4 linked regions of the Saccharomyces cerevisiae S288C genome follow. The gene in region 4 interacts genetically with the main gene of each other region. Each region holds a gene or a part of one and is shown on either strand. Other genes may lie near its edges. The genes, in order: SPO1, KIP3, ERV41 and SPO73.

What was found.
Region 1: of SPO73 (region 4) and SPO1, changing one suppresses a phenotype caused by changing the other (phenotypic suppression), as found in Saccharomyces cerevisiae (2 studies listed by BioGRID).
Region 2: mutations in SPO73 (region 4) and KIP3 together harm fitness more than expected from each alone (negative genetic interaction), as found in Saccharomyces cerevisiae (2 studies listed by BioGRID).
Region 3: mutations in SPO73 (region 4) and ERV41 together harm fitness more than expected from each alone (negative genetic interaction), as found in Saccharomyces cerevisiae (2 studies listed by BioGRID).

Annotation. Positions count from the first base shown.
Region 1 is NC_001146.8:605,318-613,979, reverse strand, and holds SPO1 (putative carboxylic ester hydrolase), read right to left. Parts: upstream 4,295-8,662; coding exon 4,190-4,294; intron 4,106-4,189; coding exon 2,315-4,105; downstream 1-2,314. Other genes in the region: PYP1 (putative phosphoric monoester hydrolase), read right to left, coding at 1-345; YNL011C (uncharacterized protein), read left to right, coding at 810-2,144; HEF3 (translation elongation factor EF-3), read right to left, coding at 4,527-7,661; PBI2 (Pbi2p), read right to left, coding at 8,369-8,596. UniProt on the Saccharomyces cerevisiae protein: Regulates spindle pole duplication in meiosis I, but not in mitosis. Required for meiosis I, meiosis II chromosome segregation and spore formation. Binds phosphatidylinositol (4)P mono- and polyphosphates.
Region 2 is NC_001139.9:83,069-89,562, forward strand, and holds KIP3 (tubulin-dependent ATPase KIP3), read left to right. Parts: upstream 1-1,816; coding exon 1,817-4,234; downstream 4,235-6,494. Other genes in the region: ERMES complex subunit MDM34, read right to left, coding at 1-1,189; CLG1 (Clg1p), read left to right, coding at 4,913-6,271.
Region 3 is NC_001145.3:136,138-143,907, reverse strand, and holds ERV41 (Erv41p), read left to right. Parts: upstream 1-3,693; coding exon 3,694-3,724; intron 3,725-3,817; coding exon 3,818-4,845; downstream 4,846-7,770. Other genes in the region: ORC1 (origin recognition complex subunit 1), read right to left, coding at 1-1,698; SMA2 (Sma2p), read left to right, coding at 2,375-3,484; ITT1 (RBR-type E3 ubiquitin transferase), read right to left, coding at 4,964-6,358; FACT complex subunit POB3, read right to left, coding at 6,750-7,770. UniProt on the Saccharomyces cerevisiae protein: Constituent of COPII-coated endoplasmic reticulum-derived transport vesicles. Required for efficient transport of a subset of secretory proteins to the Golgi. The C-terminal Ile-Leu motif is required for exit from the endoplasmic reticulum.
Region 4 is NC_001137.3:239,067-246,303, forward strand, and holds SPO73 (Spo73p), read left to right. Parts: upstream 1-4,113; coding exon 4,114-4,545; downstream 4,546-7,237. Other genes in the region: MEI4 (Mei4p), read right to left, coding at 1-557, 646-708; ACA1 (Aca1p), read right to left, coding at 966-2,435; putative AAA family ATPase SAP1, read right to left, coding at 4,744-7,237. UniProt on the Saccharomyces cerevisiae protein: Required for spore wall assembly and ascus formation. Involved in the formation and elongation of prospore membranes.

The sequences.
Region 1 (8,662 bases), on a different chromosome or scaffold from region 4:
TTGTCCAACTAATCTGGTCAATAAAACCTTGATAATTGGTTTCATTCCGCTGGAAACAACGATGACAGGGACATCATTTTCTTGAGCCCATTCGAATGTATCCTTGAAACCAGGATCCAATCGAATTTTCTTTTCTAAGATCTTGATACACTCAGGGAAAGGGGTGTGGATGGATTCCAGCATTTCCATGAAACCTTGCCTAAAAGACTTAGTATCATCTAACACGCCTTCGAAGACCTTTAATCTTTTTTCCTTACCGAAACCTAAAGTATCGGTCAGATAATCGTTAGAATCTTCCAAAGTAACGGTACCGTCGAAATCGGTAAAAATAACAGCTTTGACCATTTCCCTTGTATATATATAAATGCTATGTCACTCCAGCTTATGTTATGTGAGCAAGTTTCAAGAATGTGTGCGTTCTGTTGAGATAAACAATAGAGGACACTGTATTTTTTTAATTTAAGATGATGAAAAATTATGCGATAATTTTCGAAAATTTCGCTCATTTTAGAAAAAGAGATTTGAACAGGGTACCATAGTAGAACGATAAAAGAATATGTCGTACAATGTGTTGGGTTGTTGATATCCAATAAAGAGTTTTTTTCAGCGTGTAATGCTTAGATATTATGTGGAAAGTTACTACTGTTGTATTAACCTGTTTCGTATTTCCTAAAGAACGCTAATGTGTGATGTTTGGGTTTATTTCTTAAGCTATTTAGGCGGACTATGAAAGAGAGGAAACGGAATCTTTTGTTCCCTCGAGGTAATAAGGGGACAAAATAGCAGAGTGTGGTGAGATAGTTTACTAGATGAACGTCGTTGTGTGCTCCGGTGGGACTGCCACAAATTCATTGACTCCTTGCTTTTCTAATATTTCTATCTTAAAAGGACATGAGCTGACGTATATATTGCCAATATCAGATAATGGCGGGTCCACAAGTGAAATTCTACGAATAGTTGGTGGCCCAGCAATTGGTGATATCAGATCTAGAATAGTGAGACTACTTCAAGATGAACAGCTTGTCGAGTTGTTTGGCCATAGGCTACCTAATGATAAGTTATTAGCTAAGAAAGAATGGAATGAAATAGTGGAAGGTTCGCATCCCATATGGAAAAATATTTCGATAGAAGTTAAGGAAATGTGTCGTTCTTTTATTATCCATATGCAAGCAGAACTCTTGAAAAAAATCAAACACTCGAATCCATTTCAGTTTGAGAGTGCATCCATTGGAAATTTTTTCTTAACTGGTGCTAGATTGTTTTTAGGTTCTCTAGACGCATCTATTGAACTAATGATGAGGATAGGAAGGTGCAGTCCTCTAGTTCATGTTATTCCATGTATAAATACCAATCACACACATCATATCTCGGCTTTGTTGACGAATGGTGAGATGATAACTGGCCAATCACAAATATCGCATCCCTCGAAATCTGTTCCTAAAGATAATAGCATAGCACATTCAGCTAAATTTATTCATTTACTTGGCTCTTATGACGACCATTTGAAAATTCTCCTCGACGATGAGGAAGAAGAAGCGGAAGAGGAGTATGCCAATCCTATCTATATTCTTCCAGAACTGAAAAACTCCCAGTTGCATTTTGACAAGCTTGATGAATCACAGAATCTACCTGCTCCGGTACATAGGATATTGTATATAAACCCATATGGCGAAGAGATAAAACCAATGGGAAATCCAAGAGCTATTTCCAAGGTGAAAAAAGCTGACATGGTCGTTTATTCTATCGGTTCTTTAATGACAAGTTTACTCCCAATCCTTATTCTTGGTAATCTTGCTGAAGTAATTTTGGAATCTAATAATACGAAAAAAGTTTTGCTCATAAATAATAAATATGATAGAGAGGTTTTTGGTTTAGACGGTTTACACTACGTTCAAATGATCATAGATTCTATGAGTAGGGCAATAGCAGGCTATAGGCAATCTAAGGGTGTCCATTCAGAGAATGATGACTTTGAATGGCAAGATTTTATTACTGATATTGTTTACCTAAAAAATGGTGAAATTGAAATTGATGAAACGATATTCGAGAAGCATAGTATTAGATGCCACCAGATCGCGTCTTCGGATAAGATGGAAAGTGAAGAACTTGAAAAGGTTCTGAATCAAATTGGCCTTAAAAACTGATGCAACTATGTCGCTCATTAACGGTTATTATAGTGAAGACTACATAATAAAGACATAGATAATAAAAAAGAATCGCGTTTGAACCATGTTTTATTTAACCATATGGCATAGAAGAAAAGTAAAAAAGGTGAACAAAAACTCATTAAATTTCACAGAAAAAGTCTACTCTCTTATGAGTAACAGTAGTCTTTAAAGCATTGTAAGCAAAATGGCGAAAATTTCTTTTTTCTTGGGAGCCTGTCCATTGTTCTTTTGGTTAATATACAGCCTAAGCAATTTTTATAATAAAGGTCATAATCATTGCTAAACACTCCCCTTCCAGTGGGTAACATACTGCTAACTTCAGACTGATTGTAAGTTATTTTGAATGTCGACGTATTAGATGCGTTTCCATGATTCGCATTGGCATGATAAATTATAATTGGCAAAAATGAATCATGTCCAGTTCTTTTGGTAGCATTGCATCCTATAACAATGGGGTGAGTGAATGTTTTTACATTGTTCGGAAATTGGTAATGAACGTTCTCTTCATCTAATTTTTCGAATATCCTTTTTAACTTGGAGCCGTTTGGATAGTTGTCAATATCCGAACTAGAATCCAGAACAAAAATTACATCTAGTTCCCTTTCAGGAATCACCAATGTTCTGAGTGGAATATTCTCGCCGTCTTCTCCGCCGTCTACAAGGTATAAATGATTTTTGTTAGTTAGGACATTGTCTTTTTCAGGATAAAGATAAAAGGGATTGGGTTGATATACGGCATAGTCTGTCTCTAATCTCGAGGAGTCTTTCGAAATACTAAATATTTCCTCTTTACCTAGGCCAAAAATTCCCATAACCATATTCAAAGCTTTCATTGCTTCTCTGGAGGACTGAGAAGCCAAATTCCAGATGAAGATGAGCACATTGTTGAATATTGAAGAAGACGTCGCAGTAATAAAACCTAGATCATCAAAGTTATTAATACACTTCTCGGCCTTTCCAGAAACAATTTTTGAGCCCAAATAGGGCAACTTGACGAAAAGTCTGAGGATATTTTCCCAAGATCCAAATTCAAAGGGCGTAAATTCAAATATAACGTTTGAAAGAAGTCCATTTTTGCAATTTGCAACGAATATTGGGATCGGCACACTGCATTCCTTAAATTTTTTAGACGAGTTTACAAGCTTCGAAAACGAAAAGGAATGGTTGGGATCGTCATCGAAATTTTTTTTTAGTCTTTGAACGATTGCTTTACCCCAATAATCGGTGAACGATATTTGGAAACCCTCCATTTTTTTAGGCTTAATTTTCAAATGCAAACTTTTGTAAAAGTCTAGCACTTTTTTAAAGGTTTCAATCTTCGCATCAGTTCCAGTGAAAGTGTTGTTAGGAAAGAATATTTTTTTTAGTCTTGCTAATGGATTCAAGTTTCTCTTCGTTATCATATAGTCTTCTGGGATTTCTTCTATGGAATTCATGATCTCCTCTATTTGTTCATAAAAATTTGAAGAGCTTGTAATCAGAGAACCCCCCTGACGCTTCTTCATCTTCAAATCATTATCATTATACTCCTTTTTTGCATTGGTAACAATTTCTTCTTCGGAAATATCGAATTCCGGTATGCCTAATAAAAGATCCTCTTCAAGGTCCCACTCTTGTAGCAGGGATTTTACTTCAAAATTTTGAACTACCAAATCCATCAAGATCCAACTTCCGCCTGATAATCCAGCAATATAATCCGAATATTCAAAAAGGCCATAATCGTTCATTTGGGAAATAAATCCGGTACCTACTAACATGGATCTGTACCCGCCGCCAGATATAGCAATCCCAATTTTTGGAGGATCTTTCAACACGCGTTTATAAAACTTCGAACTAAACTTTGCCTCTGTCAAGGATTTTAAAAACTGAATCAGTTTATTCTTCGTTTTAATTTTTTTTTTCTTCAGATACAAGGTTTCTTCTGGACAGAGTTCATGCTAATAAACAAAGGAATACGAAGTTTTGGTATATTCGGTTAGTTTTGGCCCATATTTGTTAAAGTGGCAAAGAGTTTAACTTACTTTGGCCTCCCTAATAAGTGGAGAGCTAGGACATTGTACCTGAAATGGTGCTGTTGCTAGTACTACTGTCAATAACACAGAAAAGACAAAGAGGAGTTTTTGCATTATTTTGGGATATTTATGTCTTTACTTAGGTTTTTTACTTGTATACTTTCTCTGAGTGCATTTACTTAAATATGGTTGTATAGCCGCTGAAGTATGTTTTTTTTTACCTTTCTTTGTGAAAATCAGTAATAGAAAATAAACATAAAAAAAATAAAAATATAAAAAAAGAATAAGGATGTTAACTTCAAAAATATATAAGTTACTCACTGAAAGAGATGTACTCGACTTCAAATTAAAAATCTTCATCAGAAGAAACGTATTCATCACCCATCTCTTTTTTCTTCTTCATTCTCTCCTTCTTTTTCTTTCTCAATTCTGCAGAAGAGAGTTTGCTTTTTTTCTTCCCACTATTAATCTTGTTACCCATAGCATCAAATTTATCACCCTCTTCTTCTTTTTTCTCAATTCTTGGGCCAGCACCTTGTCCTGCAACCCAATTATGGCCAGAGGGTGTCATTTTCCCATCCTTAACCGCCCAAACTTCGTCAGTCAGATTCTTAGTAAATTCTGCCGAATGCGTAATAATAATGACACCACCTTCAAAAGCTTTTAATGCTTTTGAAAGAGCACCCAATGAATCTCTGTCCAAGTAATTCGTAGGTTCATCTAAAACAATCAAATGGGGTCTTTGCCACGTGCAGGCAGCGAGTACCAATTTAACCTTTTGCCCACCCGATAAACCTCTAATTCTTGAATGTGAGACTAATTCTGAATCCAACCCCAACATGGCGCAATGTAATTCAATCTCTTTTCTTGTTAAAGCCCTGAATTGACCAGAAGCCAAAGCTTCCTTCATATCAATTTCAGCAACCATTTTAGAATGGGATTCAATCAATTCGCCCCTTGGTAGCCAAGCATTGTCGACAGACATCATTGGAACCCATCTTTCAGATTTCATACCAATGTTCTCACCTAACAAAAACGAACATTCGTACTCATACGTGTTTTTAAATTTCCTTCTTGAATGGATTCCTGCAACCCTTCTTGGGGTCCCTTCAATTTTAAATATTTTATTCATGGCCTCTGCGTCATTTTCATTTATTTGCCTATTTGCTCTATCCATTGTTTCCCTATCCTCACCAGTTTGGAACCTCCATTGAATGTATTCGGATGGAGTTTTGTCTAAGTGCGATTCAATGTGTGCAAAAGCGTGCTGCTTAATATACGCTATACGACAATTCTCGTGTGTATATACTTCACCGCTGGTTGGTAACAGTTCACCAGTAAGAACATTAATTAAAGTGGACTTACCAGCCCCATTAGGTCCGATAACTGCAATCCTTGAGGATAGAGAACACTGGAAAGTAACATCTGAGACTTGTGGTTTAGTTGTCCCTGGATATTGAAAAGTCATATTACTTACTTTAACAATTGCCTTTTGCTTCGTTTTGACACCTTCTAGATAACCAGGAGTTGGGAATTGAAATTCAAGGTCAGAGGCACCTAATTCATAGTATGATTGTGCCGTAGGACATTTTTGAACAAATTCTGATAAATTACCCTTGTACTTTCTTAATTTAAGACCCTCATAATGTATGATGTATTGACAAACCTTATCCAGAAAACCAGAATCATGAGAGACAATCACCGATGTAATTCCGCAAGTATTCAAATAATTTACCAGCCACTCCACATTAACAGTGTCTAGATGATTTGTTGGTTCATCCAATAGTAGAATGTCAGCGTCCTTCAGAACAGCCCTCGCCAAAGCTAATTTCATTTTCCAACCTCCAGATAGGGATGCAATTGGCATTTCTATCATTTCATCGCTGAACCCAAACTCCTTTAATTTCGAGGTAATAACATCCTTAGTTCCTACATTGCCGGAATATACAAAATCTAAAACGGACATGTCCGAATGTGTATTATCGATATCGTGTTCCACATAAACAGTGCGACATTCATCCTGAGTGGGGAACCCGTCAACTTGGCCATTAGCAATGGATCGCATTAGAGTGGATTTTCCGGCACCATTAGGACCACATAGACCATATCTCCTACCTCGCTTCAACCTCAATTGAGTCTTGTTTAGTAATATTTTGGCACCATATGCCAAGGAAAATTCACAATTACACAAATCTTCACCCTCATCCTCTTCGTCTTGGAAATTCGGTCCAACTGGAATATTATCTACTGCCCTTTTCCTGAAATCGTCTAGTATTTCCTTTGCAGTTTTCTCATGTAAAAATATAGTCATATAAGGTGTAACATGTGTAAACCACGTTTGCTGATCAATGATCCTTTCATCAATTAGATTTGCGGCAATCGCGGCTATGTACTCAACCACAATGGTGAACCTTGGGGCCACTTTTTCAGGTTCCAGTAATTCCTTGATGACGCCCAGTGTTGTGGAAACATCACCAGCATGCGATATTTCTGGTAACACATCATCTTCCCCGACATTACCCACACGTCTCAGGGTTTTTAAAGCTTTTAATGTAACTTCACGCGCTTCAGGATCAGCAATAGTAGCAAAATTGTTCTTTAGCCCTGGTAGTAGTTTACCTAAGAATGGAGCAACAACTTGCGGGTCTTCAACCAATTTACACATATTATCGATAATAACCGCAGCTTTACGTTTTATAGAGGTTTCTCTCTCGGCTAAACCTCTGCTCAATAAAGGAACCATAATAGACAAAGTCGCTGGAGTTACTTCGGCTACAAAAGTAGTTGCACCCAAGAGATGAACGGTTTCAGGCACCTCATTTGGATTTGCAATACATTCGATTAATTTTGGAATAAATCTCTCAATATCCTTATTATCAACAGTTTCAGTTGCCTTTGTGATGGTTGTCGTTGCCGCCTCCTTAACTCCTTTCTTAGTGTCCCACATGGATTCCGAAAGAACGGGAATTAGTTCCGGCATTCTTAAGGCAATCTGTTCTTTAGCGGCATCTACCAATACAGAGATTACTTCGAGAACAGCAACCTTCTCTTTCCACTTGTTGCTAGTTTCCAGCGAATGAATCAAATGAGGTAAGAGTGCTTTAACGGCAACCGGGTTAACAGCACTAGCGATGGCTTTGAGGGCCTTTGTTGCCGCAAGTTGAACATCATTATCTTTACTACCAGCTTTACTGCATACAGAAGGGACCGTCGCAACTATGTACGGTTCAACAGAAGGTGATAGATTAGTTTCATTTGCTATGTAAGCCACCGCACCCAGCGTGTTGAGCGCCTTTTGTTTACTCTGGATAGCTTTTTGAAATTCATCAAAAAAAACTTCGGGAACGTCATGCTCGATGATGTTCCCGTTTAAAAATGAGGAAAGCTCCGAAGAAATACCCTCTCTTGTTTCTGAAGTAGCAGTTTCCAACTTTCGGAAAAGCTCTTCTAGAACGGTGATTGATTGTTGTGAATCTGACATTTTGTGATTCCTTTTTTTTATTTATTTTTGGTTTAAAAGGCTCTTTTTTTGCACCACACTATCTACCCTTCTCTATTAGATTGAAAAGAAGAAGGAATTTCTGGCGCAAAAGTAACTGGAGAGGAGGACAAAAGATATATATATATATATATTTAAATGGATATATATATATGCACATATATATTATCCAGAAAAGTAAAGCAAAATGTGAATGGAAAAGAGAAAGAAGAAAGAAACAAGTGGAGAAAAAACTCAAATTGTTAGAAGAATATACCCATTAATAGCGGAAATCAAGGCTATTCTTTTGTGCAAGCGCATCGCTCCCCTAAAAGACATCCAGCCGCGCAATGCACGGGCCGCGACCTTGAAAATTTAAAAGACCACTTCCTCAACACAGTTTAGCTCTGTTAATGACAAGGCAAGGAAAGCAAGATGACCAGAAAAAGAAAGTCCCGAGACACATCTTAGATGCCAAAGAAATGGCGCCACAGCAGTTATAAAAGAGCGTTAAAATTGAACAGGAGCAACGATTTAGACTGTCATAAATATATTCGTATATATATATGTATATATATATATATATATATATATATATATAGGACGTGCTCTGCTGTTTTTTGGTGAATTATTATAGTAGACGAGAAATAAATTTACAATCGGGGAGAGAAAATTTCCGAGTAAAAAAGTGTTTGCGTTTATCTCAGGAATCAATTTGTATGAACTTCTTTGTCTTCTTCGACGTTCTCGATGACATCATTGTGCTTTTCCTTCAACTTGTTCAAGTGGAGAACATCTGGTACCTTGATGGTGTACCCTTTAATGATGTCGAATTCGTGTACAATAGAGCCACCTGCGTGATGAACTGAATCCAAGAACTTCTTAGCTTCCACATCTGGAGTGTTCTTTTTCAAAGTGACGATGAAATTCTTTGTCATTATGGACCTTGTTTTTTGTTTGTATATTTAAGATTACCTTCTGGTTACCGTTCAATTGGTCTAAAC
Region 2 (6,494 bases), on a different chromosome or scaffold from region 4:
ATTGTTCTTCAAGCTCGGGTATCGGTGTTTGGACCGGTGTGGACGTAACTGTTTCAATAGCAGTACTATCATCAACAGCCTGTTCTCCTTGTGATTGTAGGTTCGATGGTGTGCGGGTCTTTTTGCATTTGATCTTTCTTCTCCTTGGTTTGGCATTGTCGTCGTTGCTGTTACTCCTATCGAAAAGTCGAGACTGAATCTTGGTTATCGTAGCCAAATCGTACTGGCTGGAATCTAACACTGTTTTAGGTAATAGATTGTGGGAACAGTAGAATGGCTTTACCAATTGTTTTGATGATACGGTTGATGACTTTGGTTGTGGAAATGATTGCGAAGAGTAGTAATTGTTTAAAGAGGGCATCCTTGATATAAATCTGTACAAGTTTTGTCTTTCCAAGCAACCAGGTATAGCGGAAAGAGAATTCATCACAGTGGAATGTAGTGACAGTGTTGACCTCGACGACACAATGCTTGAAAGACGTAGCATGTTTATTGGAGAAAGCTCTTGAAAATCTGATCCGTCCAAGATTACATTCCTAGACATTGTAGTTTGTTGATGATGATGCTCTCTTTTACCAGGGATGGTACTGGTGCTCTCGCCGCGATTGGTGAACCAGTTCTGTGACGTGTTGAAGATCAAAGAAGGAAGAACATCCTTGAACACTACATGCATGGACTCTTTTAGCCTTCTCTCAATGGTGCTTTGGAGAATTTTTACAGAACAATCAAACTTAAAATCCAAATCAACGTCATTAAAGGATATCCCAATTCCAGGGTTCTTTACAAAAATATTCGTGATGGCTTCTAGCTCGATGGAACTGAACGTCATAGTTATAGGAATTGTGAACGATCCATTATTGATGAGCTGGGGCATGGTAAAGCTGGGTGTATCCTGTTCGTTAATCAATAAAAGATTCGACTCTATGACTGTCTGTATCCGCAACATAGCATCCTTACATGAAATCTTGCAAATCCCCTTGGCCAGAGACTTGGGCTGCGTGATAATGTCTAGGTCCAGAATTTCTAGCTGTGGTATTGTAGGAAAATCCACCTTCTGTACCTTAATTCCGCTTTTCAAGATATCTAATTTCTTTTTAGACGGTGAGTTCAAAGCCGTAGATAACTTTTCCCGTATTCGTTCATTGAAAGAGTTATCACCAAACACAGCTTCGTTGAATCTAAATGACATGACGATGCTGAAGTTTCTTGCAGTTGTGTTTTTTTTGTTATAATTGTTACTGTTTCTATGTTTTACGAATCTTCCATGACTCTTCTAATTGGTCTCTTTTTACTACAAGGCTTCATGGCCCTTTTTCAAACCTAATTTATAAGTTCTTTGCCCTATGCTTAAAACAGTTTAGCCCTATTTAATATAGTACAAAAAAGGAAAAACCTAATTGAAAAAAGCTATTCACCCTAGGTCATTACTACTTTTTCCCTTAGCTAGCCGTGTTTTTAGTTTTTGTTTTGTTTATTTTACCTGTATTATGCCTTGTTTGATGACTTTAGTATGGGTTTGGTTTGTCTTATCCTTGGATACAAAAGGACCAGATACATTCACGTCTGGTCGGTAGAACATCGGTATCCAGTATAGTGTTCAGCTGTTCCTATAGAGACAAAATTTATAATCTGCGTGTAACAAATATCTGCAGGTTAAAAAAGTCCAGATCAGTGTTTCGAAGCTGTTGATTTTTCTTTTTTTTTTTTTATATTAAAATTTTCATATTCCCTGATTGCATCGTTTATCTGATTATCATTTCATTGCATTCTTTAACTACTTGAGTTTTCTTTCCAGCTGTATACTATTGACACTAACATGAACGTGCCTGAAACAAGACAATCCTCCATAGTCGTAGCTATAAGAGTAAGGCCCTTTACGTCAATGGAAAAAACAAGATTGGTCAATGAAGCTAGTGGTGCAGAAGCTAACTTTCCCGGTTTGGGGGATTCGTCGTTAATATTACCCATGAGTAATAACTCCGACTCCGATATAGACATAGACGCTGAAGAAGGTTCTACGCGGAGCAAAAGAAATAGCTTGCTGAGGAGAAAAGTAATTAGACCGGAGGGTATACGTAAAATTGTGGATTGTGTGGATGATAGAATGCTCATATTCGACCCAGCTGATAGAAACCCATTGAACAAAGTGAGTGATCAGGTCCTGAACTCGATGCGTGCAAGGGCCACTAAGGCCACTGCGTCCTCTATCAATAACAGCAATGCTACGAACAAATTTTCTTCGCAACGTCGAAGGCACGGTGGCGAAATCAAGTTTGTATTTGATAAATTGTTTGATGAAACCTCTTCCCAAGCCCGTGTATACAAAGAGACCACCAGCCCGCTCCTAGATTCTGTTTTAGATGGATTCAACAGTACCGTATTTGCTTACGGTGCTACTGGTTGTGGCAAGACATATACTGTGAGTGGCACACCTTCACAGCCGGGGATCATATTTCTAGCCATGGAGGAACTATTCAATAAAATTACAGACCTGAAGGACGAAAAAGACTTCGAGATTTCACTGTCTTACTTGGAAATATACAATGAAAGAATCAGAGACCTTTTGAAACCAGAGACACCATCTAAAAGATTGGTCATTAGAGAAGATACGCAGAACCACATCAAAGTGGCGAATTTGTCGTATCACCACCCAAATACGGTAGAAGATGTGATGGACTTAGTTGTCCAGGGAAACATAAACAGGACTACGTCACCGACGGAAGCAAACGAAGTATCTTCACGATCTCATGCAGTGCTGCAAATACACATCATGCAGACAAATAAGCTTGTAGACTTGACCTCGCAACATACATTTGCTACACTTTCAATAATCGATCTAGCTGGGAGCGAAAGAGCCGCCGCAACAAGAAACCGTGGTATAAGATTACACGAAGGTGCGAATATAAATAGATCCCTACTAGCACTGGGCAATTGCATTAACGCGTTGTGCTTGAATGATGGCAGCAGAAGCTGTCATATTCCATACAGGGATTCCAAGTTAACTAGGCTGTTGAAATTTTCACTGGGTGGCAATTGCAAAACAGTCATGATTGTTTGCATATCGCCCAGCAGTTCACATTATGATGAGACATTGAATACTTTGAAATATGCAAATCGTGCTAAAGAAATAAAGACCAAAATAATCAGAAATCAGCAGTCTTTGAGTAGACACGTTGGATCTTATTTGAAAATGATTACGGAACAAAAGCGACAAATCGAAGAGTTACGCGAACGTGAAGAGAAGATGATTTCTTTGAAGCTAACGAAATACAAACTAAACAAAGAAAAGATCCAGTTAGCCATTAACGAGTGCGTCAATCGTGTTCAGCAAACGTATGCAGGAGTGGAAACGTATCAAGTAGCCAAGACCTTGAAATCATTAATACTTTGTAAAAGGCGGTTTTTGCAAATGGTCAAGCTAGAAGTGGATAATTTGATACTATTATTTGAACGGGAGGAAAGTACAGCCGCCGAGATGCAGCCGGTGATTAGTAATTGCCGAATGATCAGTGGTCAGCTTTATAACAAAATACACGAGTTAGAAATGAAATTTGATGAAACCGACACTCTGAGTTCCGTCATTCATCAGGTACATTCCATTGACTTGAACAAGTTAAGAGAGATGGAGGACTGGGATGAAACTTACGACCTGGTGTACTTGGAGTCGTGTTTAAATCAAATATCAGAATTACAAAGAAACGAAATCTTGGTTAATTCCTCCATAATGACAGAAAAATTAATGTCAGATCCGGGTTTGAACTCCCGATTTAAATTTCTATCAAAGTGGCTGATGAATAGGACACCTAACATTGAATCCATAATTCAAGACCTGGTTCATATCGACGAGGAGTTTGAATCTTTTGCCAGAACTTTTATCGCCAATCCCGATAGCAATTTTACAAACACAAATATAAATATAATAAACACGACGGCAGCTGACTTGGCTGTTCCCGCTGAGACCCTACAACGGCAAAATTTTTCCCAAAAAAAAGTAAAGTGGACGAGTCCCGACCTTAGTCCCAGCCCTATGATTGAACCACAACCGGAGCTAGAACCAGAACTACACCAAGATCAAGACGCCATTGCAAGTGAAGTGGACGTAAGTATGCAAGATACCACATTCAATGAGCAGGGGCCCTCGACCCCCTCCGCTCCGACTACAGCGGTTCCAAGAAGGAAGATGCGCTCCTCCCTTCTTACTCATCAAAGTCTACTGGCCACTGCCAGGAAATAACATACATATCCTACGTAAACTATCGAATATAACTTCTTTCCGCCAGCATTAAACGCATTTATGTTGATTAATTCCGGGTTACGGGAAAAATTTTTCTTTAATTTCTTTTTTTTGAATTTATTTGGCACGAGAAAAGGTTCAAAGTGAATAATTGCTTTTAGTCATTAGACACATTACCTACTTTCTAAGAGATTCTAAAAGAAACTAAGCACCACAAATCATTGATCTTTTAAGAAAAACGCACAAGGATCATATACTAGATTCTCGTTCTCGTTTTTTCTTCCTTTTTTTTTTCTCTAAAGCCTTTTACTGGGTTAATTTCCTTTATTGACCCAAATTAAAAGAAAACGTTTCTCAGGAGACTCTTTTAAGCAAAATTTAGCAAATTTGTGTTTGCTGTTGTTTTTACAGAGACTGCATTACTTGAAGGTTTGCCTTTAAGTCTTCGAGTCGTTTTTTTTTATTAACTTTAATCCTTTTTCTGTGTGTTTGTGTATATTCAGTGGGGTTATTTTACAGTATTCGAAGAGACTTCGTTTCACACATTTAAACCAGCTTTATTAGCGTTTAGCTTATACACTACAAGGAATTTTTTTTTTCTTTAACATTATTAAGACAGTTATTGAGTTAATTCGTCTTCAGCCCCCCTCCCCCCAACAAACCCCCCTTCATATAGAAATGGCTAATACTTTCAAGTATTATCCTGAAACGATGGGTAATTCTAGTGGTTATCCAATTAGTTTGCCTTTTCCGAAAGGTTCGGCTACTTCTGCTGTTAATGTTGCTAGGCAACTGCCTAAATATTTAGGTCATGTTCCCTCGCAATCAGTTCATACTCAGTTGCCATCCATGGCTTCTTTAGGTTACTTCAATCAGCCAAGTTCTACTTACTATGCTCCTCCTGCACCACTTCAACAGCACCAGCAACCACCTATCCTTCCCCCTCCGGGCCTAATGTACACTAGTAACAATAACAGCAACGTTATTCCTCCTCCTGTTCAAATGATTCGGGATGGACAACAACAACCACAACAATCTAACCAAGTAAATGGGGGCGTCAGTGAGAACTTGGACTACGATATTTCTATAATGTCAAAATTTATCATGGAAAATGCCTTTGTTGCCTTCAACGCGAACTATAGTACTGATGACCAGACCACTGATCTTTTTTTCAAGGGCATATCTTCTGTGTTGAATGCCACGAGATTGCCTTCAGCTACTATTTTTTTGGCTATAGATTATCTTTTCAAGTATATCAATAAATTATCTAATGGGATACATTCAATTGGTGGCAATTCGATCAATATCATTTATCAAAATACTATGATTGCGTTCATATTAGCAAACAAGTTCAACGATGACAAAACTTTCACCAATAACTCATGGTCACAGGCAACAGGAATACTGATAAATGTTATCAATGATTTCGAGAGACAATGGTTGAGAATATTTAACTGGGAATTGTATGATAGTGCTTTTCTTTATTTTGAGTTCGTCAAGAATTTTGAGATTTTCAAGCAAAATCAACTCAAACCTGCTGTAGCGGTTCCTACGTTATTATCTCCAATTGTCAACGTTGGTGATACGAGAAACGTAAATTTCAACTTGAAGCCTACTTCCACAAACAACCTATTATCTCCAGTTTCCAATTATGAAACCCCCATGCTGATGCCGCATAACATGTTTTCATCACCATCTTATCAGAGTAACTCAAGGTCTGAATTTTCTAGTATGAATGGTTATTATAACTATTACAACTATAATCAGCCAAGATTGAATTACTATCAACAATTCCCCAATATATATTCTTCACCAATTTCGGAAACTCAGTTTGATTACGACTTCTACAATTTCAGTAGTCAACAACAACAGCAACAACAAAAACAACACTCACTTTTACCTGCCGCTCCACAATTACCTCCCCCTCACGTCCATAATCAGTCTTACGGTCATCATCTTGGCTGGAAGTCAATGGATGACACAATAAATCATTCAAGATTTGAGCGAAACTACTTTCCGTATTCGGCAGTGTATTAGTGAAAACTTTTTTTTCCTTATTTTTTCTTTGATCCCATCGAATTACTTTCTCTTTTGCCCAGGATCATCTTTCTAATCTATCATTTTATTATTTTCTCTCATGAGAAAACAGAATTTCGAAACAGATATAATAAAAAAATTGAAAAATTTGAAAAAAAAAAATCTAGAAACATATTTTCCTAAAATGAAAATCGGAAGCTAACAAAATTTTTGAAAAACGAAA
Region 3 (7,770 bases), on a different chromosome or scaffold from region 4:
GTCCAACAAGACTACAATGGTTTTCTTCTTATTTTTTGGAACTCTTTTAAAGTAAAACTCTAGTGACTCCATTGAAGCTGCCCATGTTAACCTTTCTCCTGACACTTTGTTCCATAAAGTTTCGTAACAGTCTGTGGGTTTTACCATTTTCAATCCATTTATTTCCACATAAAGAAAGTCTGGTATTTCTCGTTGTGCAGAAGACGATAGTAGTTCCTTTACGACTTCCCTTACGGTTAAAGTTTTCCCTACACCAGGCGTACCAGCCACGTATATAGTAGTAGCGGAGTCGGACTCAATGGCACTATATGCACTTAAATAAATTGAGGCGAATTCATTCTCCCTAGCCGGTAAATAATCTTGGAAATTTGCAGACTTCAATATTTCTTCTTTGACATACGAAGAGTTCAACTGTTTTTTGACTTTAGAAAAAATTGTTTCTACAATCTGATGCTTTTGGGTTGTTTTTAATTTGTTTTCAAACCTTGATGCCATCAATTCCGAAGAATTTCCGTAAAATTCAGGTAATGAAGTTAAATCTGGTATTGCAGCTATAGATTTAAATCTTTTCGAAAACGGGGTATATTTCTTTTTCGCCCTAGCAACATTCTTTTTTGTAAATTTCCTAATCACAGGAGTATTATTTGCACGGCATGAAGATATCAATAGCATCTGACGCGGTTTACTAGGATCTTTAGGTTTACGACCTCTTTTTTTGGGGGGAGGTTGTACAGAAGCGTCAATATCATCTTTACCTAGTTTTATCTTACGGCCTCTTTTCCTTGGTGAATTTGTATGCCTAGCTTCTTTCTCTTCTTCGTCTTCGTCTTCTTCTTCGTCTTCTTCTTCCTCAAGCTCATCTGCGGATATTTCACCGCTGTCCATATCCTCGCTAACGTCGATATCTGACGGACTTTCATAATCAGATGATTCATCTTCATTACCGTCCTCATTATCCGTTATATCTGTAGCTCTTGTTTCTGCGTCTGAAATTTGTGCCGTTTGAGTAGCCTTATCTTTCTTTTGAGGACCTCTTTTGATCTCTTTCTTCTTTGATGGAAGTGTTAAATCTTTCAAATATTCCTGGGCTTCCCTTGGCTCCACTTTCTTTATGTAAGCTTTGACATCCTCAATATTAATGTCCACAAATTTCTCCCCAGTCGGCTCACAAATATAACGAACTGTAAAGTCTCTTTCTGGATCGACATTTCCTTTCAATACTTCCCATTTGCTTCCATCCATTACGTTGGCAACCCTGATAAAGTTAAATAGCTGCAATTCGGCTAATTCTGCAGTGAGATACAGTTCATTTTTATTTGCAGTTTCAGAAAACAGTTTATTGTAATAATTTAAAGGACGATTCAAAATGTTAGCGTCAGGATTAAACTGCCTATAATGAGCTAAAGGATTGACTTCAAACCATCGTAAATAGGTGAGAGCCCAGAGTTCGACAACATTATTTAATGTATTAAGTCTCAACTCCTGGATCATATAAACGGAGTAAGTCCCAGCGGCTTCGTTGTGCATGACTACACTATCACCACGACCTAGTTTAATTCCATCAGAACTTCTCTTTAAGTAATGTTCAGTTTTTGCACCTCTTCGGCGTAATCTCTTCTGACCTCCATCGATTATATTTCCCTGCTCATCAGTTGTTATTATCTCCCAACCCTGTAAATCCTTCAACGTTTTTGCCATCTTATCTACTCTATTGTGGTTTTTGTAATGAGTATTAATCAATAGGGAATGAGTTCCTGCTTCTGGAAACTTTTAGGCTGAATTTGCCGCCTATGCAGTTTTCTTTCCCTTTGCGCAACTTCATCTCTTCTCAATGTTGTTGTTTTTCTATGATTTTCGATCTGGCCGTGTCAACGTTAATAAAAAATAAGTCGAGGAAGAGAGTAGTTACATATGTAGTGGTGTTCGTTGGTGCAATATTTGTTGATATAACGATGAGACAGGTCACCAAAGAATTTCAAATATTTGAGGTTTATATCTTTTCTAATTTGGCGCCAAGTTATTATCCTGTGATACCCAGTAAGACAAAAAATGCCCCATAGCAGTCCTTATCTTAATACTGACCATTATGAAGGGGCTTACATTGTACAAACATATTTGTAATAGAATGTACCGGATATTTAAAATAACCCAAGCATCAATTGTGTAGTATTCTTAATTTTTTTTCTTGGTAAATTTTTGGGAGAACATTTTTTTGTGTCATCTTAGGGGAAATTATAAACCATTATACACTCCATACCATGCACTTACTTAAATTCTATGGACACATCCATCAATTAAAAGATAAAACTAATAAATAGAAGCATGTTATATATGAATATATATATTCTTTCTGTCATAATATAAAAGGGCGAGCATGTTATTCCCTAAACGTCTGATTGTGTGGGGTGTTCTATTGATTTTAAGTTTATCACAATTTGTCCTCTACCTGCCAGCCACAACATGTACGAACTCTAAGGGACTTAGGTTATGCGCTCCACAGTTTACTATAACTGTGATTGGAGGATCCAGTACTGCAAATGAGTTTATTGCAAGTGTAAGAGAATTTCTGCGATTGATTTCGTACCTGACAATTGACATGGGTTGGTCGAATGAATTCACTGATCCAAGTGTGTATGAGGATGAAAATTTGGTGGACACATTTCAGCCTGATAAGGTTTTTGAGCTCAATTATTTTGGATTTTGTAAACGGAGTAATAAAAGCAAAGTTTATTGTACCTCTAATGAGAATTATGGCATGGACGTACTTGAAGTACTTGTCAGAGACGTCGGGATTCAATTAGGTAACATTTCCACTACACGATCGAATGAAACCAAAAAATTCGGAGACTCTCTCGTATTGACCTACCGTTTGGCATTGACATCTATTCGTGATTTTTTGAAACACGACAAGCACACAGGAAATGCCCTATCAAAGGCTTTGATTGGCAGTCCTGATCCAAATGTAAAAGGCGTGTCACCAACAAAAAACTATCTGAAAGGCGTCAACCTGGCATTTATACTGATGATGTTCAACGGCATGGTTTTTTACTTTGCAGTGTTGGAAATAATAGTCGGATTCCTCAGTATCTGCGTAGTGTCAGCCTTTGGGGGAGCACTTAGTGTTGGGAAACGACACCGCTTATTTCCTATGCTTTTGAAGTCATCAAGTTCAATATTAGTTGTTATTGCTACATTGACAATATTATGTAACATCGTATATTTGATTGCACTGAAAACATTAGAACCTGAAGAGGTAACAGACGTAGGATCTGACAACGCTGCTGTACACACTACAGGCTGGGAACTGTTAAAAGTAAACGTGGGAAGTGGGTTCATTATGGGGCTCGCCAGGTATGCCATCCAGTGGGTCCTATTGGTACTCGCATTTCTTGCAGCAAATCATTACAAAGCTAAGCCCAAAAAGTCTGATAAGTATACAGAAGACACATCTAACTCCCCTTCTCCAGACTTGATGGAGAAGTAATTCACCACAGAACTTTTTTTTCAAATGACAGTAAATATGTAAACATATACACAGCCTTTCAGTATATTAAGTATTTTTGCATAACGTCCTTTTTTCCCGCTCGGTCAAGGCTTTGAAAAGATATTATCAATGTTCTATTCTTACTGAGAAAAGCGTTCCTCCAAAATGCTTTTGCTGTAACGTACAGGCAGAGACTTCAGGAGTATATAATGGCAGGATTGAAGACATTTGATGCGTTTCGTATGTTATATGGATTTTTCTGAAGTAGCCCGCTTCAGCATATTTTATTTTTGCTTTTGCTTTTTCACTAACAATGGAAATTTAACTTTACAGCAAAAACTGAAGAACAGTACAAGAAGAAATCCACCAAGGGTGGCTTAACATCTTTGTTGACATATCTGTTTCTGTTGTTTATAGCATGGACCGAGTTTGGTGAATACTTCGGTGGTTATATTGACCAGCAGTACGTAGTGGACAGTCAAGTTAGAGATACCGTTCAAATTAATATGGATATATACGTCAACACGAAATGTGATTGGTTGCAAATCAACGTCAGAGACCAAACAATGGATCGGAAACTTGTATTAGAGGAATTGCAATTGGAAGAGATGCCATTCTTTATTCCTTATGACACAAAAGTCAATGATATCAATGAAATTATTACGCCGGAATTGGATGAAATCTTAGGGGAAGCTATCCCAGCAGAATTTAGAGAAAAACTAGATACTAGGTCATTTTTTGATGAAAGTGATCCTAACAAGGCACATCTTCCGGAATTCAATGGGTGCCATGTATTTGGGTCCATTCCGGTAAATAGAGTTAGTGGCGAATTGCAGATTACAGCGAAGAGTTTAGGTTACGTGGCTTCACGCAAAGCACCACTGGAAGAATTAAAATTTAATCATGTTATTAATGAGTTCTCTTTTGGTGATTTCTATCCATATATTGATAACCCATTGGATAACACTGCACAGTTTAATCAGGATGAACCTTTAACTACTTACGTCTATTACACATCTGTTGTGCCCACTCTTTTCAAGAAATTGGGGGCAGAAGTGGATACTAATCAATATTCTGTTAACGATTACCGCTATTTGTACAAAGATGTCGCTGCTAAAGGTGATAAAATGCCGGGCATCTTCTTCAAATACAATTTCGAACCATTATCCATAGTAGTTTCTGATGTTCGTTTAAGCTTTATACAGTTTTTGGTCAGATTAGTGGCAATCTGCTCATTTTTGGTCTACTGTGCTTCGTGGATTTTCACACTACTGGATATGGCTCTTATCACCATCATGGGACCTAAGTGGTCCTTGCGTTATCAGCCAGATGATAAAACTAAGGGTATTTTAGATAGGTAGATATGTAAAAGAAAAGAGAATGCAGTATACCCAAGATAACGTTTCATTTTCATCTGTATAAATTTCATGACAATAGATTATAAGAAAAAGTGTGAGACTGAAGGCAGAGCGATCGCACTCAAGTTTCTGTGCCAGGCATACCTTCAAACAATCGTCCATAACAGCCTGAATATGCTTCTCTAAAATGTTCATAAGGGTCCTCAGGATAAAGTAATACTCCGCATATAAAACAGAACAGCGTCCCGCATACTTCGCATTTCATTTTATTGCAACCTTCACTTCTTTCTACAACTACCTTACACTTTGGACATCGCTGCAAATTCGAACCCTCTTTTTTAATCGCTAAATCTAACATTTTTTCAGCAAGGTAATCATTGACTTCAAGTTCTAATACTCTTCTCCCATATTTTGCCTCCAGTTTCCGCTTTCTCTCATATGAAGTAACGGTATCATCTAGATATTCCTCAATAATATCGGTCGATAACGAAACTTTCTTGCCACATTTATTGTTGTAACCATGCCAGGCATGCAAGCAGTCAAAGCAAAATACAAAATGACATTTTTGACACTGAATCATCGCATCATCGAGGTCTTCTTTTGTGCACCAACTATCACATCTTCGACAAGTCACACAAGCATACGGACAATATTTTGAGAGTCTTGTAGCCGCCTGGTTGTAGAACATTTTTTCGTATCTTTCACATAGCTCTGTATCGATAACCTCTTTTAAGAAGGACACTGGAATCAAAGGTGTAAACAATGCCTTCAGCATTTTTTTATAGCTCTTGAAATCTTCTAGTTTTAATTCTTTGTATTCGCATTGTGGACATCTTACACTGGATATTCGGTTTTCCTGAATCATTGCAGTGAAATAAGATTTGGCGCATCCTCTGCAAAGATAGTGTTCTACATTCGCATTTTCACATGGCAATTTGATCATTCTAACACCCTTTTCCATTTCCATACAAATACAACAATGGTAGTTAGATCTGCTCACTTTTTGGAGGGTGGCTTCCTCACTTATCTGCTTAAACAAGTCATACTGATCCTGTGTCAGGCACTTTCTTATTCCATTAGGGAATAGTAATATAGCTGTATCATCTATAAGAAACCCAAAGATGAGGATAAGGATGGAGGTAAACGAATCCGCGAACTCAATACTCATATCTACAGTTTCTTCAACGAGTCTCAGCGCTTTGTCAATTAACATCTTCTTTTCATCTGTTGATATCCATAAGGATTTGATATCCATAACAACACACCGTCGAATGTCCGGATAATGACAGCTATATATGGTGAACTCCACGCATTCATTAGATAAGTTTGAAAGTAACATATGTTGCTCGCCGAACTCAATATTTACATCGGCCAATAGTGATATCTTGAACAGTAACTTTCCGTTAATTCTTTGAGGGAATTCACCTTCCTCCTCTACTTTTACCGATTTCATTTCCAGTTCTGGGTACATATCTCTTAATATTTCCAAATCATTTTCAAACTGAGTCAAAGCCATTTTACTCCCTGGTCTTTCATCAGTTATATTAGTTTTCTGTAATTCGTTATTCTACACCATGACATAACTTACTGGTGACTAAATGAGAAAAGCAAAGTCCCTTTCTCTTGCTTGTTATTTATTTTTGAACCCTTTACACTATTTGTCTTTTTTTCATCACCCAATCGAAAAGTTGAAAGTATTTTTCAAGCATTGAAAGGGTAGAGGAGATTAACAAAACATAAATATTTTGCAAAACAAAACCAATTTCAAATAAATGTATAGAATAACACCAGTAATTAAGAGGTGGTGTCTTACACTCACCATGTCATGATAATATCAATTGGCAAAATATATTAGTTAGTTTTTACACAATATCAATAAATTTAACTTATACAGTCTAAAATTATTACTATTCTACCTTAGGCTTCTTCGAAGGCCTTTCTTCGTCGCTACCCCCCTCAGCATCACTTAAAGCCGCATCTGAATCAAACTCTTCTGCAACTTCGTCTGCGTCATTATCAGAGCTGACCTGAAAATCCTCATCTACTGATTCATCATCTTCACCAGCGGAACCCATATTAATATCCTCTTCGTCACTGTCTGAACCTAAAGCGGTTTGTAACCTTTCTTGTACCTCTCTATCTTCATTCTTCACCCTTAGGTTTTTAGACTTTAGGAATTGTTCCAATAATTGCTGCTCTTCCTTACTGATGTTGGCAAAAGTGGTAGAACCTCTATTTGAACGCAGTACCACTTCCAAATCAAACGTCCTCGATGACGTAGAAGTTTGTCCTGCTCTTGAAATGTTTACCATGCTAACATCACTGAATGGTATGTACAAAGTTGGCTTAGTTAAAAAGAAGAAAGCGTTATCTAATGGATACAAATAACCTTCGTTTGCTTTGAAAGAACATGAAACTGCACACTGATCATATTTGGATTTATATTCTCCAGGAACAATGACTCTACGGTCAGTCAGACCTTTTAATACATGACTTAAAACTATATGAGTTTTAGCATCATATTGTTTTTTCAATTTATCCTTATAATTTTCCTCATAATCTTCATCTTCTAGATTCAATTGCACTTCTGTTTCCTCATCTTTCTGAAATTGTAAGACAAGAAAGGGGTAGGTGGTCTGTCCTTGACGTAAAGGAGGTTCAATTGCCAAAACCAATAAGTGATGGATATCATCTGCCTTTGGTAACGAAACAATTCTTTGTATTTGACGATGTTGCAATTTGTATTCATAGGTCTTACCCCTGAGTCTAATGGAGTTCTTGTAAATATCGATATCATAACGACCTCTTGGCGTGGTAAAAAAGACGTCTTGGAAGGAAACTATTGCATCACCAGCGACTTCCCCGATGTCTGCCTTTTCCTTTAGTTCTTCATAGAATGCTTCTGCCATACTCTTTTCCTCTACTGCC
Region 4 (7,237 bases):
GGATCGTTTTGGTTCTTCTTCAATAAAATTCTATTAAACAGAAACTTGGCGATGAAATTGAAAACATGAACGTCTATCAGTGTCCTCTTAAAAGAAGAATCAGAATCTATGCGATGCGAATAATGAGAAACTAACAAGATTTGGAGTGTTTGAAACACTTGCGATAACCCTCTAAAGTCAATTTCTTTTGTTTTTAAGCTCAGGATTTTTAGCAGAATTTTATATCTCGGTAAAAACCAGTTGTTTATATCAGCAGTTGATACATCTTTGCTAAATGATTGCAGCTCCTTTAAACCAACTGCATCTTCGAAGCTTTTGTACTTATTCTGGCAAAGGAAATTGTATATAGGTTCCAGATGAGCAAACAGTGATTTATTATTCAAAAATCCATTTTCGAAAGGCGCAACCCATTTGTATATATGTTTTGAGTTTTCCCGAGGATTTATTTTTAAATTTTTTTCACTCTTGAGAGCACCTACATCTTCGACATCTCCTTTCTTTCTTGAAAGTGCCCTCTTCCACAACGTAGGATTCCTGGATTGAATTAAAGCAAAACACTGTCATAGATAATATTCGAGGAGATTACACCTCTTACTAAAAGTTAGTAAAGAGAAAATAGGTTAAGGATGTGACAATTTCACGTACGATTATCCAGTCAACTTCCGATGTTTCCTTTTGTTCCATATCTTCCAGTTTGCCTCTACTCATGTCCTTACTCTTCTAAAAGATTATTTAATGAAACTGTTTCACAACTACAAGATGTTTGTTATGTTTTCTTTTACAAGTCGGAAACATTTAGCCGCCCAGCAATATATATGACTCCGAAAGAAAATGAAAGGAAATACATACATAGTAAAATAAATCGTTTAAACATAAATAATCGTACAGAGGAAAACATTAAGGAAGGAGAGTCAAACTAATGTACTGGGAATTTGGATCTCCCATAAGAAGTATGCGCAATACTTTTATTCATCATATAGACTGGAGCTGCGTATCATTTCTTCAATCATTTTCAGAAACCCGTTAACATCACTATCCTTGTTTTGAAGGCTTTGATAACTATTATTACCACCATTAATTGTGCATTCTTGCATGTGCAACCTCGAAATTTTCTTCATTTTTTGAACCAATTTTTCGTAATTTTCAATTTTTTTCTTCATCATTGTGTTTTCTTTGCTTATTTGGTCAAATTCCCTTTGAAGTTGTAATTGTGACATTTTCTTTCTCTGTCGACACTTGGAAGCGGCAATTCTGTTTCGTTCTAGTAGCCTTGCACGCTTCCAAGCTTTAGCACCGTCTTTCAAGCCTGCAGTATTGTTCTCTATTTTTTGGGGTCTAGCTTCCTGCTTTATTTGGAAGGTTGCTGTAGTGTGCATAGAGGAGAAGGGCGCGGTATGTACGTCTTTCTCACTATTAATATTGTTTTTCAGTGCAGAAGTGGCATCCTTGTATTGTGGTTTTGAGTTGGCATGTGTTAAATTGACATCAGGGCATTTCGATTCGTATGGAAGGCTGCTTGAAATATTCAACTCGGCATTTTGGCAGGAATTATTAACAGTGTGGTGATTAACGCCATGGGAAATTGAAGAATGGACGGATTGATTTTCGATATTATGATCATTAATGTTTTGGCAGGAAGAAGAAGAGGAAACGGAAGAATTAGAGGCTGGAGTACATGGATGCACATTCAATTGAGCGTTTTTCCATGCCTTAGTTTGCATTTGAGCTTGTAATCGGAGTTGCATGTTGATGTAAGCCTGATTCATTGTGGAATCGCCAGATGGGATAGAAGGCGTGGCAGAAGGAATGTCACAAGTGGCTGCTACTGCGGGTATGTTAAGCTTTATATTGCTATCATACGGGGTCATTGCAGCGTAGATATTCTTGCTACCTGTTTGAGGTGCAGCTTCGGGTATGACTGTAGCTTGTTCGTGTGGTTGTGGCACGTTTTGCAATTCGTTCGAGCTAAAGCTTGGGTATATGGCTGCGCTTGGATTTGCCACCTGTTGAGGATTGGGATTCTGTTGCGCCTTAGACGATAGGATCGGAGGCTGACAGTTGTAAAGATTTTCAACCGTTTCTAAGTCTTCGCCTAATTGACTAATCTGACCATTGGAGATAGATATGCGTCTTTTGTACACGGGCTGATCAAACGCTGGTAAAGAACTTTGAAAAATGGGAGGGTTGGTAATGGGAAGATGGCTGATGTCGACGCCAAAGGGTTGAAACATTGGACCCAGGTTTTCTTGCACGCTACGGTCATGCAAACTGTTTTGGTGATGAAAATTGTAGGCAGAATCCACAAGACCAGGACCCGATGGTTGTTTGTATATAAGCTCCTTGTTTGAAGATAGAAAATCTGTATATAAGAGTGGGTTCTGCCTTCCATCTAGGAAAGAATCTGGACTTGTAGCAAAATTATGCTTATAGTCCATACTTTATTTGGTTCCTTAGTCGTTACCTGGTGTTATTCCAGTACTATTAATATAACTCAGTACAATTAGCTGCCGTGAAAAAAAAAAAATAATAAGAATACAGTTTCTGCGCTTTTAGTCGGTAAGCACTCAGATTGAGAGATCTAGATTTACTATATTTTAATAATAACCAGTTAAAGCAGATTTTGAAGATGAACTAACATAAAAAAAATTGATGAATTATGTAACATAATCTTCTGTACCACCAGGGTAAATCGCCAAAGAATATCTGCATCTAAGAACAAAAGAAAATGGTGCCCTAAATATCTTTCAGATGAAAAACTAATTATATATCACTACTAAAAAAAGCCAGAAAAAGAAAAAAAGTAAAATAGAAAATAGAAAATAGAAAATAGAAAAATAGAAATTAAAATTAAGAGCATTTTAAAATTAAGTCTACAAAGTAATACTTGGCATATTGCTTAACTCCTCACGCAGAGCCTTAGCGTACCACTATTTTATCTGATACCACAAAAAGCTGCGCTTTGATGGCCCAACGGGGATATAATCGCGCCACTGCTACTCATGTGCTGCAAACTAACAGTGCCAGCAGAAGCGAGCATTGAAAAACTAAACTTTGCCTTGTTCTGCTTACTTCATGCAGAGGTACAGCTTCGATGTCCTAAGGTTGAACATCATCTTGCTTCGATTTCGGTAGTAATCATTTTGCCTGCACGCCATTGTATGAATCTCGTGCCACTCCCTTTTTAACTCCGAGATACAACTTTCCGTGGGGAAAAGTACCGTAGTATTGTAATTTCGAGAGCATCTTTACGGTAATTGCCCCTCCACACCCAGACGTTACACAACCCTTAGTAAACAGCTGCGGAAAAAAAGTGTGCCTACGCACTGTACGACTCCTGATTGATTCCTTCATTAGCACTGACTGGCTTACGGTGCACATAAGTTATTAAGAGCAGTTTAATTCAGTTGCTGAATAGTCACGTTGATGAGCACGAATACCTGAAACACCAACGGTAATGAATCAATTGGCCTAGCGCATCGTTGTGTGCTTGGGTGTGCCGCACAATGGCAACCAAATACTGCTCGTTCCTGCACTTCGAAAGAAAAGCAGCCAAAAGAAAACGCGTTTTCCTTTGCGAGCGCTGGTTTGTTCCTCAGTTTGATAGAGGCGTTCAATTGGCAATTTGGGCACTAACACCGATGATAACAAGATATCTTGACTTTGACCTCTGATATTGAGGCGTTCCAACCAATAAGAGGGGCTGACGGTTGAAAATAAGGGTAAAAGAGAGCTATTCGGGTTGGGTCGCAGATTAACTTAGAAAACATGTACATGCAAATGTTGTTTTTTACGTACAGAAAGAGGCTGATGGAACCAAAGGAAGCAATAATTTGCACCTTGATATTTTGCGCTTTCTGCTTTTGAAACCTTATTATATGCCTTTACATATACTGTCACGCGACATTTTCACCTTCTACAGTGTTTAATGAAAATCTGGCTTGTGTGCATTATCTTTTTTGTGAAAGTTTATCTCCGCTTAAACAAAGCGATTGAATCTTGTCTACGTAATTGGGCTCGTGGGACCAAAAGGCTACTATTTTCCAGGAAATTGAAGACTTTGCAATCGTAACAAGGTTTCTTTCATCGTTAAAATACAATCATACATAGAGATATATGGGCAAAAACCATTTCTTGAAGGATTTCTCTGCTTTACCGGAGGACGTACTCATAGAAAACGAGAGAGGCATAACTTTACTTGGTTACCCACTATTTTCTCCCAAGATTTTACTGCCTCACGTTGACCCACCACAATTTCAAAGACTAAACACTGAAAATGGCTCGTTAATTGCCCTGTCGAAAAATACTATATCGAACTTCATAGAACTGTATCCTATCGATCTGAGTACTGAACGCACTGCAGGCAGTAGCAGTTCACAGATGACAAAGTGGTTCGTACTGATGGATTACAAGGAAAAGTACGATATTGACGATCAAGGATGGTGTTATAGCTGGAATTTCAATAACTCTAGGTGGAAATCGAAAAATGGCTTGGTGAGAAGAAGGGTCTGGGTAAGACTACCTACGACCAGTCATGGATTAGATTAGTAATAGTTTACGCTAATATTAAATTGTTTAACAAACTAAGTAGTCAAAAAAAAGAAAAAAAAAAAAAAAAAAAAGAAAAGGTGACATTATGCAGAACATATTTTATCGATCCGCTTATGTGCACACAGTTTGTCCAGCTAGGCTAGAATATTATTTATTATTACCATTATTATTATATTATTATTATTATTATCATCATCATGAACCTGATGATCCGAATTGTGAAGCCCACTTTTCGTACTTCACTAATCCGTCCTGGGATACAGAGGGCTTGATATACACTAAACTGTTCTTAAAATCCACAAGGCCTATGGGTCTTATCATCTCCCTCTCTGTTTCTAATAACTTATCACCCAGATCTCGTAGTGGGCCCATGGCAGCATCCTTCGCTAAAGACGTTATATCACTTCCTGAATAGCCCTCAGTAATCTTTACCAGTTCATCAAAATCTGATTCGGTTAACGTGTGCTTTTGATGGGAAAGAAGCTTCTTAAATTGAACGTGTCTGGTCTGGTCCTCTGGTAATGGGATATATTGTCTTCTCACAAATCTTCTCCTTGCAGCCTCATCAATAGACCATGGTAAGTTTGTCGCGGCAAGTACCAGTACCCTTGTATCATCTTCGTCGCCATTGGTGTCAGAATTGTTAGTGTTACTTTTGTTTGAACCAGCCGCTGCGCTGGACAAGGATGACCACTGAACAAGAAATTCATTCTTTATCCTTCGGCTTGACTCATTTTCATTTTCGTTATTCCTACTACCCATGATAGAGTCAATTTCATCAACAAATATTATAGAAGGTGACAATTTTTTGGCAATTGCAAATAGTGCCCTCACTAATTTTTCACTTTCACCCAAGTATTTAGATGTCAAACTGGAAGCACTAATAGAGAAAAAGGTGGAGTGCGACTCTGTAGCTACAGCTCTCGCTAGCATTGTTTTACCTGTACCTGGTGGTCCAAATAAGAGCATCCCCCTGACTGGTTCACGTAACCCCCTGAATAAGTCTGGTCTCAAAAACGGATAGACAACTGCTTCCTTCAAAGAATATTTTGCACTTTCTAAACCAGCAATATCATCCCAATGAACTTCATCTCCGTGCACTACGATTTCGGCAAAAATTTGCTTTGCAGCTTGCCTATCTACACCTTGTAAACTATCAATAATTTCATCTTCTAAAATCTCCCTCAGGACTTTCTTGTCTATTTCAGGCTCTTCTCTTTGCTCATTTAGGGAAGTGGCATGTTCAGTGGCATCTTCTGTTCCAACATCTTCTATTTTTGGAGAACCGATTTTTTTTTGTGCTGGTATTTTTCGATTCGTTTTACTCATAGACGTGGTTTGATTTTTCGATGGCTTCTTATTCTGGGATGCACCATGCGAGTATGGTTTTGAGTTACTTACAGGTCTGGAAGGATGGCTACTCGTTTTCTTCGAACTGGAATTTGGGACTTTCGCCGTTTTGGATTTCAAAATGGGGTGACTCTTCTTCGTAGTGTTTAATGCGGGGTTACTCGCAACCTTTTTGCTGTTCAGAACTCTCTTAGCAGCCATTGCAGCCGTTTTGGGTTTTTGAATTACTGAATTTGGAACAGTCAGAGAAGAGGTCGGAGACGATGCATTGGATTTGATGATTGGTTTTGTATTACTTTTTGATCTTGTAATAAATGTTGGCGTTGATTTAGTGATAAGAGTGGGCGTTGATTTGGTACCCTTTAAGTATGGTACGTGATTATTCTTCATTAATTTTGATATTTGAGGATTCCTAATCTTTGATGAATCCATAGTAGTAGAAGTTTCTAAACTATGTGGCTTTAGAGCGCCAGTGCTGGACGCTCTATCGACATTTAATAAAGGAGGTGGAGGTAATGAAGGAAGAGCAGGGGCGGTAGTCGGCAGGGACTGTATGCATGATCCGGGAACATTTTCTGAAGAACTTACACTCTTATTACTGGACGTAGAAGAAGTAACAGACAAGTCAGACATTTGCTGTTGAATTGCTTCTAACGTTTTTATACGTCGTCTTTCCTCTTTTTCTTCTTCTTCTTCTTCTACGTCGACTTCGGAGAAATTATCATAGTAATCGGACACATCAAACTCGAAACCATCACTTTCTTCTTCATCAAAAACGTTGTGTCCTTTTAAAATGCCGACATCGTGATCATCCTCGTCATTAGTCAAATCTATCAATATTGGCTCTGAGATATATTTATCTGAGTACAGTTCAGTTTCCTTCTTAAGTGGAGGATCATTGTGCTCAATAGGGTTCTTGTGCTGTCTGCTTGCATTGTTGGATAAAGGCTTAGAAGGTACAAAATTTACTCTAATGTTCTCCGCATCTTCTCCGCGTTTTATCGATGTGCTGTTACCATATGATGATAGTGAGGGGTTGGAGTATGCGGTTTTATAGCCGCATGCATTTCTATTTCTTAATGTTTTCATCATTCTTCCGGGAACCATTTGGAATACAGGAGGTGGTTCAGTAGACCTTGTGAAAGATGAGCTATGATTAGTGTATGTTTTGGATGACGGCATATCATTCCTGGGAGCAGGCTCTTCTCGGACCAATTTTTTGACTCTTTTCAAATGCATAACGCTCTTGTGGTACAATTCTCGAATACCGTTCTGTAAACTAACTTCATCTTTCGTGTATGATTGAGTATTTGGGTAGTTATGCTCTATCAATGTCTGT